Rattus norvegicus: one gene and its partner. The protein of the gene in region 1 purifies or fractionates together with the protein of each later gene. This does not show direct contact. Links are inferred from orthologs where the notes say so. Each region holds a gene or a part of one and is shown in the gene's direction. Other genes may lie near its edges.

Region 1 (5,948 bases):
AGAGAAGATCTATGGCAGAAACTGGAATCTCTTCCAAACCTTTATTCTGATCAAGAAAGGTTCTTATTAGTTTCAATGCACTCATCAAACCTCCCCAGACTTGAGGTGTCCTTATTTTCTGTCAGAGGCACTCCTATGCGCTCCCCTTCTGTCTTTTCCTTCTCATTCACTGCATAGACACTTTTCTCTGGGCTAGGAAGACCTGGAGGAGGCTGGGTGAGGCTAGGGTAGGTTGGGGAGACTTGGGGAGAGTGGGGAAGGTTGGCAGGCATCGATGAGTTGCACCATTCAGCTGTGGGAAACGGAGAAACCTACCACCTACCGCTCACCTTCTTCATCTGCCCAATCTCAAATCTTGGCAGGCAAGATGGCGCAGTAGTTCTGTGGGGATAGTGAGAATGACAGGTTTGGGCTTGGCCTTCCAGGTTTGCTATTCTTCTTTACTGAATCCCCAGTTCAGCAACCCTAGAAGCCAAACAGGAAGCAGGATGGGCACATGGAGGCTGCTGGATTTGCTGAGGAACCGTCTGAGATGACAGAGAGCCGATTGGTTCTGTCTGCAGAAGCCGGCCTAGAAGAGCGGTCTGAGGATTAACACCCTCTGCCAGGTGGTGTGCTTTTCTAGTCTGCATCTTTTATCACCTCTGTGTGCCCTGGTGGTTTCCTGAGGGTGGAGCCTGCATCTATTGTGGCTAGGCTACTGTGTTTGTCAAAGAGATTCCTAGGCTTGAGATAGTCACGTGGTTAACCCTCTCTGGTGGGCTTTGGAACAAGACAGACACAGTTCTAAAAACTGTGTAGACTGTGGGCGCATGTGGCTTAAGTTTTCTAAATTTCACATAAAAGTTTATGTGAACCTGTAACAAATACTTCAGGAATGTCGTCTTAAATTACTACCATTGTTTGAGTGTCCGAAGCTGAAAACATCTGTAAGAAGACAAATATTACCAGATTTGAAATAGAAACGGTGTAGGGAGGGATGTGTGTGTGTGTCGGGGGGAGGTGGAGGGATATGTGGAGGGGGTGGGGGGAGTTAGCGGATAGACCAATCTTGGAGTAGTGGCCAGTACTCTTGCTTCAAGCCCCCCTTTACAAATAATAATTTAAAAAATGCCATTGTGCTCTGTCACCTAGCCCAGTCACTCCTGGGGACAGGAACACATGTTTCTAGTTCAAACGTGCAGTATACTTCCTGGCAACTTGGCAACTTGACGAACATACCTAAAGTCACAGTGGCACGGACTATCTGCCTGGTTTGCGTTACTGTTTTCTAGGATTTCGGCCAAGGGGACACTAGAGGAAAAACTCCAAGAAGGTAAAAGCATTTTAGCATCTCTCTCTCTCTCTCTCTCTCTCTCTCTCTCTCTCTCTCTCTCTCTCTCTCTCTCTCTGCAGAGCTCAAGCCCCTGTGTCCGAAGCTTTCTCCCTTCTAGAGAAAGGCAAGCTGTAGTCGGGGATCAGGACAATATGGAAGGTTCTCCACCAGTGGCTTCTTGGGGTGAACTAATTCTCAGGCAAACCAAACAACACCTAAGAAAACAACTGTAGAGGATGGGGGGAGACAGTAATAAACTTGAAGCACTTTCTAAACCTTAATGCTCCTTGGAGCACGGAAATAAAGGAGAAACGGAGCAAATGGAGGGTTGTAGGGGTGATGGAGGTGAATTTAATTTTCTCTGAATTTGACCTTGCCCCTGTAACTCAAAAACTGCAGGATCATGGTGTCTCATCTCACTCTGCATTGCATCCAGCCTGAAGCTGACACAGGGTCTGGAGAACCCTGTGGCCTTTTCTCTCAATCCCCTCAGGACCCTGAGAACGGTTCTTTCTTAAGTCCATCACGTGCACAGCCCAGACTTCAAAGCCGGCTTCATGCCTGAGGTCCTGTGTGTCTGGGTGGTTTTTAGGGTTTTCTTTCTAATTTCCCTTCCTTTTCACAGCTGATTTTCTTCAGAAAAGAGGCTATAAAAAAGAACCTATTGCATTTCCAGTTCCCATCACCACTATTTCCACATGGATGTGACGTGGAAGGCAGCTTCCGAAATGCCCAGGTGACTCACGCGGGGACACCCCGGGGCGGGACCTAGGAGTTTCTCCGGGCGGGGCGGGGACGGCCTCGAGCGCCCTCTGCTGGCCGGCCGCTCGCCATGCGGGAGTCACGTGACTGGAAAGTCCCTCGGAAATCCCCCTGTGGCGAAGCATACAACTGAAAGGCAAAAAAAGGGAACTGCCCAGTCTGCAGCCTTCGGAGCCGGAGGCGGAGCGGTGAGCTAGGCCGCCGAGAGACGTGCACACCCCCAACCAGAGAGCCCGACCGGGCGTCCATGGGGCTCCGCCTCGGCCCGACCCCCACCACGACCCGAACCACGACCCCCGGCTACGGCTCGCGCCAGTGACGGCTGATCGGCCACTTGGGCTCTGCGAGGGCTCCGTGCGGCCCCAGGAGGTGAGCAGTACTCCGGCTGGGGTGCACGGCTAGCAGGATACAGGGGGGGTGGGTGCACGGCCAGAGGGGTGCAGTGCCAGCCAGATTCAGGGTGCACGGCCAGCTCAGTATGGAGCTGTCTTGCTATGGCTTTGCAGGAGTTCTGGGGTGAGGGTATTGTTGGCCAGAGTTGAGGTCCGGGTGCCAAGTGTTTAGGTTGACAGCCCTAAGTTTCTCCAGCCGTCTGGTTAGCTAGCTATTCCTTTCCGATCCTGCAGGGTGACGTGAGCTGCAGCTGGCTGATGAATAGTCACCCTTCGGGTCCCTAGGTCGTGTGGTCGTGGGTGTACCCACTCTTCCAGCCCCCCCTTTGGAAATCAAGTGCAGCATGTTCATAGGCACGTAGACCTTGCAGAGTCGCGCTGGGGTTTCTTCCCATATTGTGCATTACTGGCCCAACAGGGGATGGTTTTCTCAGAGGCCACCAAATCCAACTTGGAGGCTTCAGCCAGCCAACTTTTTAGTGATCAATGTGGGAGGAGGGTTGCGGGGAGGGAGGTGGAGGGGAGGGGCGTGCTTTGAGATTGCCACTAAGGCCCTAGTTGCTCCGGTATAAGAGTATGCATGCAGAAATGATTCTCTGGCCTGCTTGCTGGGGAGTCCACGTTTGGTGGCATGTAAAACTCCCTACTGCAGCCTTGACTCCACACTCAGACTGTGACTTGTCAGTCCGGGTCCTTCGTCCCACATCCTGCCACCTGGCCTCTCAGGAAAGCTGAGGTATTAAGAGCTCTTTCTGGAGCATGCTTTGTTTTTAGTTCTCCTGTTCTCTCATCTTTCTTTGGAAAGCTGGTCTGGTCAAGTGGAGGGGGGGGGGCACCGTTTGGAACTGATTATTGTTCATTAGCCTTCCATACGCTGATGTCCTAGATTATTGAGCAGATTATTATCGGTTGATCAGGGCTCATTCTTGTGGTCTGATATGCTACTTGGATCTTTTGCAGCTCGTTGTATAGATTTTTGGAGGGGTACTTCCCAACAATTGCCCGAGGTATCTGTTTATAAATAATACAGAAGTTTCCACATCGCGGGCAAAAAAAAAAAATCTGTTCAGAGTGGAAAAATAAAAGTGGGGGAAAGACTTTGGTGAGTAAGTTCTGAAGAACCTTATTGATCCTGTGACAAAAATTGGGAAATTTATCTGTAAGGGAGTGAGGTAACAAATATATTTTTAAAAGTTAAGGGTAGTGCTTTAATTTTTTTTTTTTACCCATAAAACATTACAATGATATGTCAGGAAACTTTATTCTCTAAATGTGGGGAAGTCCAAGAACTGGAAACTTGGGCAGAGGGAGGTTTAAGCTCTGTCTTAAATAGGCACTTTTGCACGCAGTGCAAGGCAGAGTCCGTGAACGGGGTCTTAGTGGGCTGACAGATACTGACCTTTGCATGTCTTACATATGGCTTAGAGCCCCCGCCACTTTTAGATCTATGCTAAAAGTTCTTGAGGTCCAGAAGAGCAAAATAGAATAGCCATAAAAATAGAACAAGGTGCAGCTCACTGATGCAAAACTTCTCCTTGCCTGTTTCTGAGAGCTGCAAATGCTGTACGCCAGGGTTGCTATCAGGAGACCAGCAAGGGATTGAGATGGGGAATAGGAAGACTTGGCTTATGAGCAGAGCTGCATCCTTACGTCTGCTGGACCTGAGATGGGTCTGACCATCACTGCCTTAGCTGCAGGGGTTGTCTGACAGATATCAAGGCTAGGAGTGAAATCATACATTTTTAGCTATCGCATCAGGCACAAGGGTTGGCCTTAAATAGGTGGTCCAGCCTTGCTGCTTGCATGCATCCATTCATGGATGGGGTGATGACATTGTGAGAGAGACCATGCTATATCACCAAGGAGATGTATGTGTGGTAGTTTTGTCCCATTCTGTCTATGTTTCTGCCTAATTCTACTTGCGAGGCGCAACTGTCATCAGGCACAGAGAATAACTTCCAGGCCTCAGCATCCCAATGCAAATTCCCAGGAGCAGCCCCTCCCTTCCAAGCAGGGAACAAGAACTTACGATTTCTTTTCCCTCTTGCATAGTCTTAACACCGTTTTTATTTTAACCTGGTGAGTTTGCATTGGAGGATAGTATGGTGCCGGAGTGGCATTAAGCTTCGCTGAGAAATTTCCTAGGTGCTCTATATCATTTCTGTCTTCTAGGAAATTAGGATGTGTGGTCAAGTGCCCAAGGAGGGTCTGTGAGGACAGTGAAGCAGACCTGGATGGCCATTGATCCACATTGGTCTCTCTGCATCATCAGTCCACATTCGTGCATAGTTGGCGTGGGTGGTCATATGGCCAGTCTTCGTCCTGAGTGGTACCCCACTCCAATACTTCCTGTTCGTTTCCTGATTTCATTTCCTCCACCTTTGATTGCGCTCGATCTTTTATGGTAAAGGAAGGAGGGTGTTGAGGTCTCTGAGCATTGGGATCTGGAAGGGCAGCCATAAATAAAAGTTGGTCTAGTTGAGTTAAAGTCATAGAGCGCGCTGGTGTCTGTTCCCCCCCCCCCACCTCTCTGGGAGGTGTGATATACCTTAGTATCCCTCTGTTCATTTGTCTCACGCTGTGAGGTTCAGTGGCAAGGTTCTGAAATCCAGCTGACGTTTATTTGCTTTTAAGATTGTGAAGGATCTGGCCAGAAATCAGCTTCGTTTTTGTTTCTGTTTTTGTTTTGTTTTTTTTTTTCCGTTGTTGGTTATAAAACAATTTGGCGTCGGCTCTTTATAAATATCGGCTCTTTATAAATATCATAAACCGAGCATTTATACATGTCTTTGGGGTCAATAAGAAAGAGGAAATACCAAGCAAGCAGCTAGATGCCACACGGGATTTCCAAAACTACTTGCTGCCTTTGCAGCATCGAGAAAGGGGATGTTCGAATGACCTGAATCTAGACGTGAGTCAAGAGGGAGGATTGAATGGTGGGGGTCTTCAGTGAGCCTAGACTTGGGACTCTGATGAGTGACATCAGAGGGATGTGAGGTTGGCTGTGTGAAGCAGTACCTGTCGCTGAGAGACAGACTTGGATCACTGACAAGCATTACTGAAAGCATGGGTTATTCCCCTCCTCCTCAGTACCCACGCTCCGCCTTCCTTCTCTTGTTTAGACTAATCTTTAAAAGTGATGTAACTTAAAACAGTCCAGTGTGAGTTAATCTTCAGGGCCAGCTAGTATCCTGGGAGTCGAGGTGACTAAGATCTTTTACCTACAGATTAGAGTAATGACAAGATCAAACACTGGGGTTTCCTGCCGGCAGGTATATGGGAGCAGTGTAAAAGGCAGGCTAACGGAATGGGCTTTTCCCCTTCCTCTTCAGGCCTTGTCGAGGACCATGGCTGAACAACTTCTTCCTCAGGCTTTGTATTTGAGCAATATGAGGAAAGCGGTGAAGATACGAGAGAGAACCCCAGAAGACATTTTCAAGCCTAGCAATGGGATCATCCACCATTTTAAAACCATGCAC
Region 2 (5,797 bases), on another chromosome or scaffold:
TATGTATGTGTGTGTCTGTGTGTCTGTGTGTATATCGTGTATATGTCTGTATGTGTGTATGTGTGTATGTGTGTGTCTGTGTGTGTATGTGTGTGTGTGTCTGTGTGTATATTGTGTATGTGTCTGTATGTGTGTATATGTGTGTGTCTGTGTGTGTCTGTGTGTGTCTGTGTGTGTATGTCTGTGTGTATGTGTATTTATGTGTATGTATGTGTGTTTCTGTGTATGTCTGTGTGTGTGTGTGTGCTGGGGATGAGAGCCTCCTTTATGCTGGGGAAGCAGTCTACAACTGAACTACATCCCAAGCCCCACCTCCACTCCCCACCATTTATTTCTCCAGGCCTGCTCCCATTGATGCAGTCTGATGGAGAGAAGTGGGCCCCCAGCACCACCTCCAGCTGGTCTTCAGAAGCTTCACCTTTGGGGTAACAGAGGAGAGGAAACATCAGGGTTGGGGTCCTGGAGGTTGGAGGTCAGCAGTAGCTCACAGGGAAGGGCCAGGAGCTCTGTTTCCAAGTCCTCAAACCCTCGACCCCCTATTTCTTGGTTTTCCCTCCCTGTCTCAAAGTCTCAGCTGCTAAAGGACCTTGGGCTGGATGAACTGGCTCGCATAAAGGTCACTGACTCTCAAGGGCACTTGAGTGAGTGGTGTCCCGGTGTTATAGGGTTCCCTTGGGAGAAGACCCACCCGAATGGGGGTGGCAGGAGGTATCCATCCCTTGTAAAGGATGGCTATCAGAAGGTAAGGTCTTACTCAGAAGGGCAGAGAGAACAGTGGGGCCTTCCAACAGGAGCCAGGAATCCTGATTCTCCAGAGCTCTGCCTCCCAGCATGCATAGTTCTGTGACTTCTTTCTCACCCCTGAATGTGGTATAATCTTTGGGGTCAGTCCGAATGGATGCATCAGAATATCTAGAGCTTGCGTGGTGGTGCACACCTGTAATCTCAGCATGTAGGAGGTGAGAGGATCAGAAGTACAAGACCAGCCTCCTCTAGAGAGTGAGTTTGAGACCAGCCGGCTTGGCCTAAATGAACCCCAATTTCAAACAAGACAAAACTGTATGTTTGGGAAAGGGGCCCTGGGAACGAACCCTTTGAAACCTGAAGCATTTACAGATATGGCTTCCCGAATCCTCAAGGCTTCTCTTTCCCTATGTCAGAGAAGGCATTTTTACTCCAAACTAATAGCTGAGGAGACAACCAAGGCTTAGAAGGGGGGTTGTCTGACACCTGCACCCCACTCCCACCGTTGGTGGGCAAGCCGTGGTGGGTAGCTGGGGTATCTGTCTGGAAGAGACAAGATGAGAGTCAGTGGGAGGGACCGAGGATCAGAGCCCAGGCAGGGTACAAAAGTACATTTGGTTTCCCTCCCGGTTTGGGTTGCCTGGGTAAACTTCCAAGACAGTGAGATTAGAGGGAACTCTAGAGGGACAGAGAGCGCTAAGGAACAGAGTGCATCAGATACTGCCCTCCCTCCATACCCATGAGATCGGTAGTTTGTCTTCATTCGGTGAATTTGACAACAGGCTTGGAGGGGTTAGTCCACCAGTCTAAGTTCACCCACTTAAAAAACAGAGGAGTCCGAACTGGAATTCTGTGGATTCTCGAACTCTTAAGTGGTGTTAAGTAGGTTTGGGGCGCCAAGCTGTTGGGTCCCGGGCTACAAAGCGTTAAAGAACCTTGGCCCTCTCCTCTCTCCTCTAGTTCCCTCCTCCCTCCTCCCTCGCCGCTCCCCAGGCTCTTCCGGTCCCGCTCTTGCAACACCACCCCCGCCACTCTCCCTTCCCCTCCTACCTCCTCTCTCCCCTCGGCTTTAATTTTCTCCGAGTTTTCTGAACTCTGGCTCATGATCGGGCTTACTGGATACGAGATCCTGGAGGACCGTACCCTGATCTCCATCTACCTCTGACTTTGAGCCTTTCTAACCCGGGGCTCACGCTGCCAACACCCGGGCCACCTGGTCCGATCGTCTTACTTCATTCACCAGCGTTGCCAATTGCTGCCCTGTCCCCAGCCCCAATGGGGGAGTGAGAGAGGCCACTGCCGGCCGGACATGGGTCTCCCCATCGTGCCTGGCCTGCTGCTGTCACTGGTGAGATGGGAGACGGGAGGGAAGAAGGGTGGGCTGCTATCGAGGCGCGGCCTGGCAGAAGTAGGCTTGTACTTGGGGAAGGGATGGGGGCAGGGGCTTGTGTGCTTCAGTTTGCCCCCGAGTTTGCTGGGCCTCACCTGGGGCTGCCCTGAGATGTAGAAGGGAGAGATCTGAGAGGGAGAGAATTCGGCAAGCCAAGCAGGCAAGCCTTGGGCCTGACAGCGGAGGTCCTGGCCTGTGTTGGGCTGTGGCCATGCCAGCTGCCCGGCCAGTGGACTTAGAGGGGGCAGCCCTCTTTCTCTGGCAGAGGTTGAACAGCATGGGGCCGGATGTTGGAAGACTGAGCAGAAAGAAATCCGTTGGCGGGACAAGTTTGGGATAGCGTGCTTGTTGGGAGTGGACCAGAAACTGGACAGAGCTGGGCAGCCTCCCGGTCCCAGACTTCACCCTGAGACACCTTTTGCCCTTCTGCCTCCATTTCTGCTTCCAGATACGAGGTCTCCACTGGCCTGACCCTTCTTAAGTAGCTAATAACTCTTTACCTGGGCGACGTATCCTTTAGCTCCCTCCCCACAGACCCAAAAGTCAATCTCACAGTTTCCAATTCCACAGTTCCGATTGGGGAAGTTGGTGGCAGCTTGTTCTCGTCACTGGAAAATGTACTTTTCTCTGGCCTTGGCCCCGTGTTCGTGTTCCCTTGATTTCTGTGTGTCCATAATCATTCTGTGGGGATCCTCCGGGGCTCCCTGGCTGTCTGGGTGGGCTGTACCACCTGCACGGTGTCTCTGGTCCTGCCTCTCCCTGGCCCAGCGCTGCCCCTGAGACCTGCCTTTTTCTCTATGCCCTTTCTCTCTTCTGGTCAATCTCCTTTGTGCCCATTCCCTTCCTTTTCTCTAGGGTCCCAATCTAAAGCGGTGTTCCCAGAACCCTGTACCGATCCAGTCTGCCTGGTCTTACCTCCCTTCTCCCTCTCCTGCCTTCCAGCCTCACCTCACAACTTGTCAAGACTGCCCCTTCTGGCTATCCTCCAGCTCCCCATCCACTCATTTCTTTTCTCTTGAGGGGTAGATCATCTGGATTTAGGGCTCAGCCCAGCACCCTTACGGACATGTGATGTGACTCCCCTACGCTTTTGTTTCTCCATTTCCAAAATGTCTACAGTGATCAGTACCCCGTCGTTGTCAAGATTGAGTAGATGAATGTGTGTTGAATATTTATTAGTTTATTAATCTCCTAGGCCCAACTTCGGGTGCTAGGATCAGTGGCGAATGAATCAAGTTCAAGTTGGTGGACCCAAAGGGGAATGTATGCCACAAACAGAAAGGGCTCAGCGAATGCTTGGCTTCTCTTTCCTCATCTCTAGCAGTGTTAGTGTCACTACTCAATGGCCGTCCTCCTCTGACAGGCTGGGTAGAGGAGACATCCTGACTCAGTGGAGGAGGCCCAGGTGGTGACGGGGATACTGTGAACAGAAAGCAGAACCTGAAGACCAGGGACACGGAAGGCTGTCCCCCGCCTCGTCAGTGCAGAGCATAGGGCTGTGAGGTGTGCAGGTGATGATGAAGTGCTGAGGTCATGAGGCAGCAATGGACGTGGCAGGGATGTGGCAAGGCCAAGAAGACTTTGCCACTTTTTAAAGAGTTTGACTACAGGAGTGAAAATGACTCTGGCGTGATGTGATGTGCTTTCCTGGAGGCAGAGCTGGGGGAGGAGGTTGGGCTATAGGCCAACACTATCTTCTTGCTTAATGGCTTTTGCTTGTCTGCTGGGCTGAGCTTGCCTGCAGAGACCCGAAGGCTCATAGTGTATTATCTTTGGCTCACAGAGAGCTCTTGAAAGTGTGAGCCTTGTCCCATCCCCAGCACCTATCTGGGCCCTAGAAAGGAGACCTTGACCATTGACTAATGGCTTAATCAACTAAGGAATAAGAAATCGGTCAGATAGGAACAGGGGAATGTTGTATAGAAAAGAGGGCTTGGGACTGGCGTGCAGAAGCCAGAAGGAGGGAAGACAGAGGAATTGAGAGCCTGGATTAGGGGAACGGAGAGGTGGGACTCTGTGTTGGAGGTGGTTACAGGAGGTGAATGCCTCAGCTGGGGTGGAGTGGCCATGTTGAGGAATGTGACAACTGGCACTCTGGAGTGTGTGAAAAAGAACCTTGGGCCAGTCATGGTGGTACATGCCTGTTATCCTAGCACTTGTTAGATGGAGACAGGAGCTCAGGTCATGACTGGGTTTGGCTAGACAGGGAGCTTGAGACCAGTCTGGATTAGAGACCATGTCCTAAAACATACCAAAAAGAAATAGAGTCGTGCTTAAGGACCTAGGTGAGGGCCCGTTTTCCTCCCTCTCTTCCTCTCCCCCCTCCCTCCCTCTCTTCTTTCCTCCTTCCTTCCTCCCTCCCTCTCCTCCTCCCTTACTCCTTCCCTCCCTCCCTCTTCTTCCCTCCTTCCTTCCCTCTTTTTCTTCTTTCTTCCTTCCTCCCTCCCTCTCCTCCTCCCTGCCTCCCTGCCTCTGTCCCTTTCTTCCTCCCTTCCTCTCTTTCTTCTTTCCTCCTTCCTTCCTCCCCCTCCTCCTCCCTTCCTCCCTCCCTCTCTCCTTCCCTCTTTCCTTTGCTATTCTCCAAGCAGCCTGGCCAGACTGTGTTCCAATAACAGTGAGTTTCTCAGAAGTATGTATGTGCTCACAGAAGGATTTATCCATGGAAATGATTCTTGAAGCCAGACCCTGGAGGTGCAAAGGAAGATTCATAACCCAGTGGTACAAGTTGAAGCCTGAATGTAGATAAGAAACTATGTGGGTAGCCTCAGCCCCTGCCAAGGTTTGAGACAGGCACATCCCTTGAACCAGAAGGTTGATGTCAGCCTCAGCCACATAGTGAGGCCCTGAGACACCACTGTGGAGTGGTGTAGGTAGGAGGAAGGCAGTTGCAAAAAAATCAGTGCTGGGGTGTGGGGTAAAGGGTGGAGAGATTCCAAAAGGACTGGCAGGTGACTCTTAGGGCTGCTGCAGAGTTTGCAGCCTTGGTACCAAGAAGTTGGTGATGTGACATCTAGGTGAGGAGCCTGGTGAGCTCAGCTGGAGGCAGGTGAAGTAGGTCGCTGACTGGCTAAGTGGAAGTGTGGTTGTGCTGACTGGAGCAAGAGCTCTCTCAGCCTTTCTTCTAACTAATGCCAGCTGCACTGGCTCGCCAGCCGGACTCGGCAAGAGATGAGCAATGGCAGAATTGTCAACATGGACATGTGCGAGAGTGTGCCTGTGTGTAGAAGGGAATGCACAGCTTCTAAAATACCTCCCAGAGACAAGTGTGTCTCTGAGGTGAGGGGGGCTGCGGGGGTGCTGCTTCCCTACATCCTTGGGTGTATCACCAGCTCCGTCTGAATGGAAGGCACCCCAGTCTGTCCCTCTGGCCCGCAGGCCTGGCCCTGGGTGATGTGACCAAGGCAGTGCTCTGACCTCTTAGCTCATAAGGTTTGCGGTCTGCCTGGGGAGATTGTATCTACTCATCTGAAATAACCATAGCTTCTGATAAGAGCCCAGAATAGATATGGGCAAATTCACATTATTCAACACATTATTCAACATGAACAGGTGACAGGGTATCTGTGGAGCTTGGGTGGGGAAACATGAATCACCAATTAGGGGCTTCGTGGGTGGAAGGTAGGATTGTGGCAGCGCTGTCAGAAGAGGTCACACTGAGGAGCT

Evidence for each region. Proteins that work in one complex are often made in the same cells at the same time.
Region 2: the proteins of Tnfaip3 (region 1) and Tnfrsf1a purify together in Homo sapiens (affinity purification with western blotting; 7 studies listed by BioGRID, with this or other methods). This does not show direct contact. The link is inferred for Rattus norvegicus from reciprocal best matches to the Homo sapiens genes TNFAIP3 and TNFRSF1A.

The regions. Positions count from the first base shown.
Region 1 is NC_086019.1:15,540,265-15,546,212, reverse strand, and holds the start of Tnfaip3 (TNF alpha induced protein 3), read left to right. Parts: upstream 1-2,233; 5' UTR 2,234-2,446; intron 2,447-3,001; exon of another isoform or gene 3,002-3,205; intron 3,206-3,429; exon of another isoform or gene 3,430-3,571; intron 3,572-3,582; exon of another isoform or gene 3,583-5,705; coding exon of another isoform or gene 5,706-5,816; coding exon 5,817-5,948. UniProt on the Homo sapiens protein: Ubiquitin-editing enzyme that contains both ubiquitin ligase and deubiquitinase activities.
Region 2 is NC_086022.1:159,835,302-159,841,098, forward strand, and holds the start of Tnfrsf1a (tumor necrosis factor receptor superfamily member 1A precursor), read left to right. Parts: upstream 1-1,817; 5' UTR 1,818-2,053; coding exon 2,054-2,092; intron 2,093-5,797.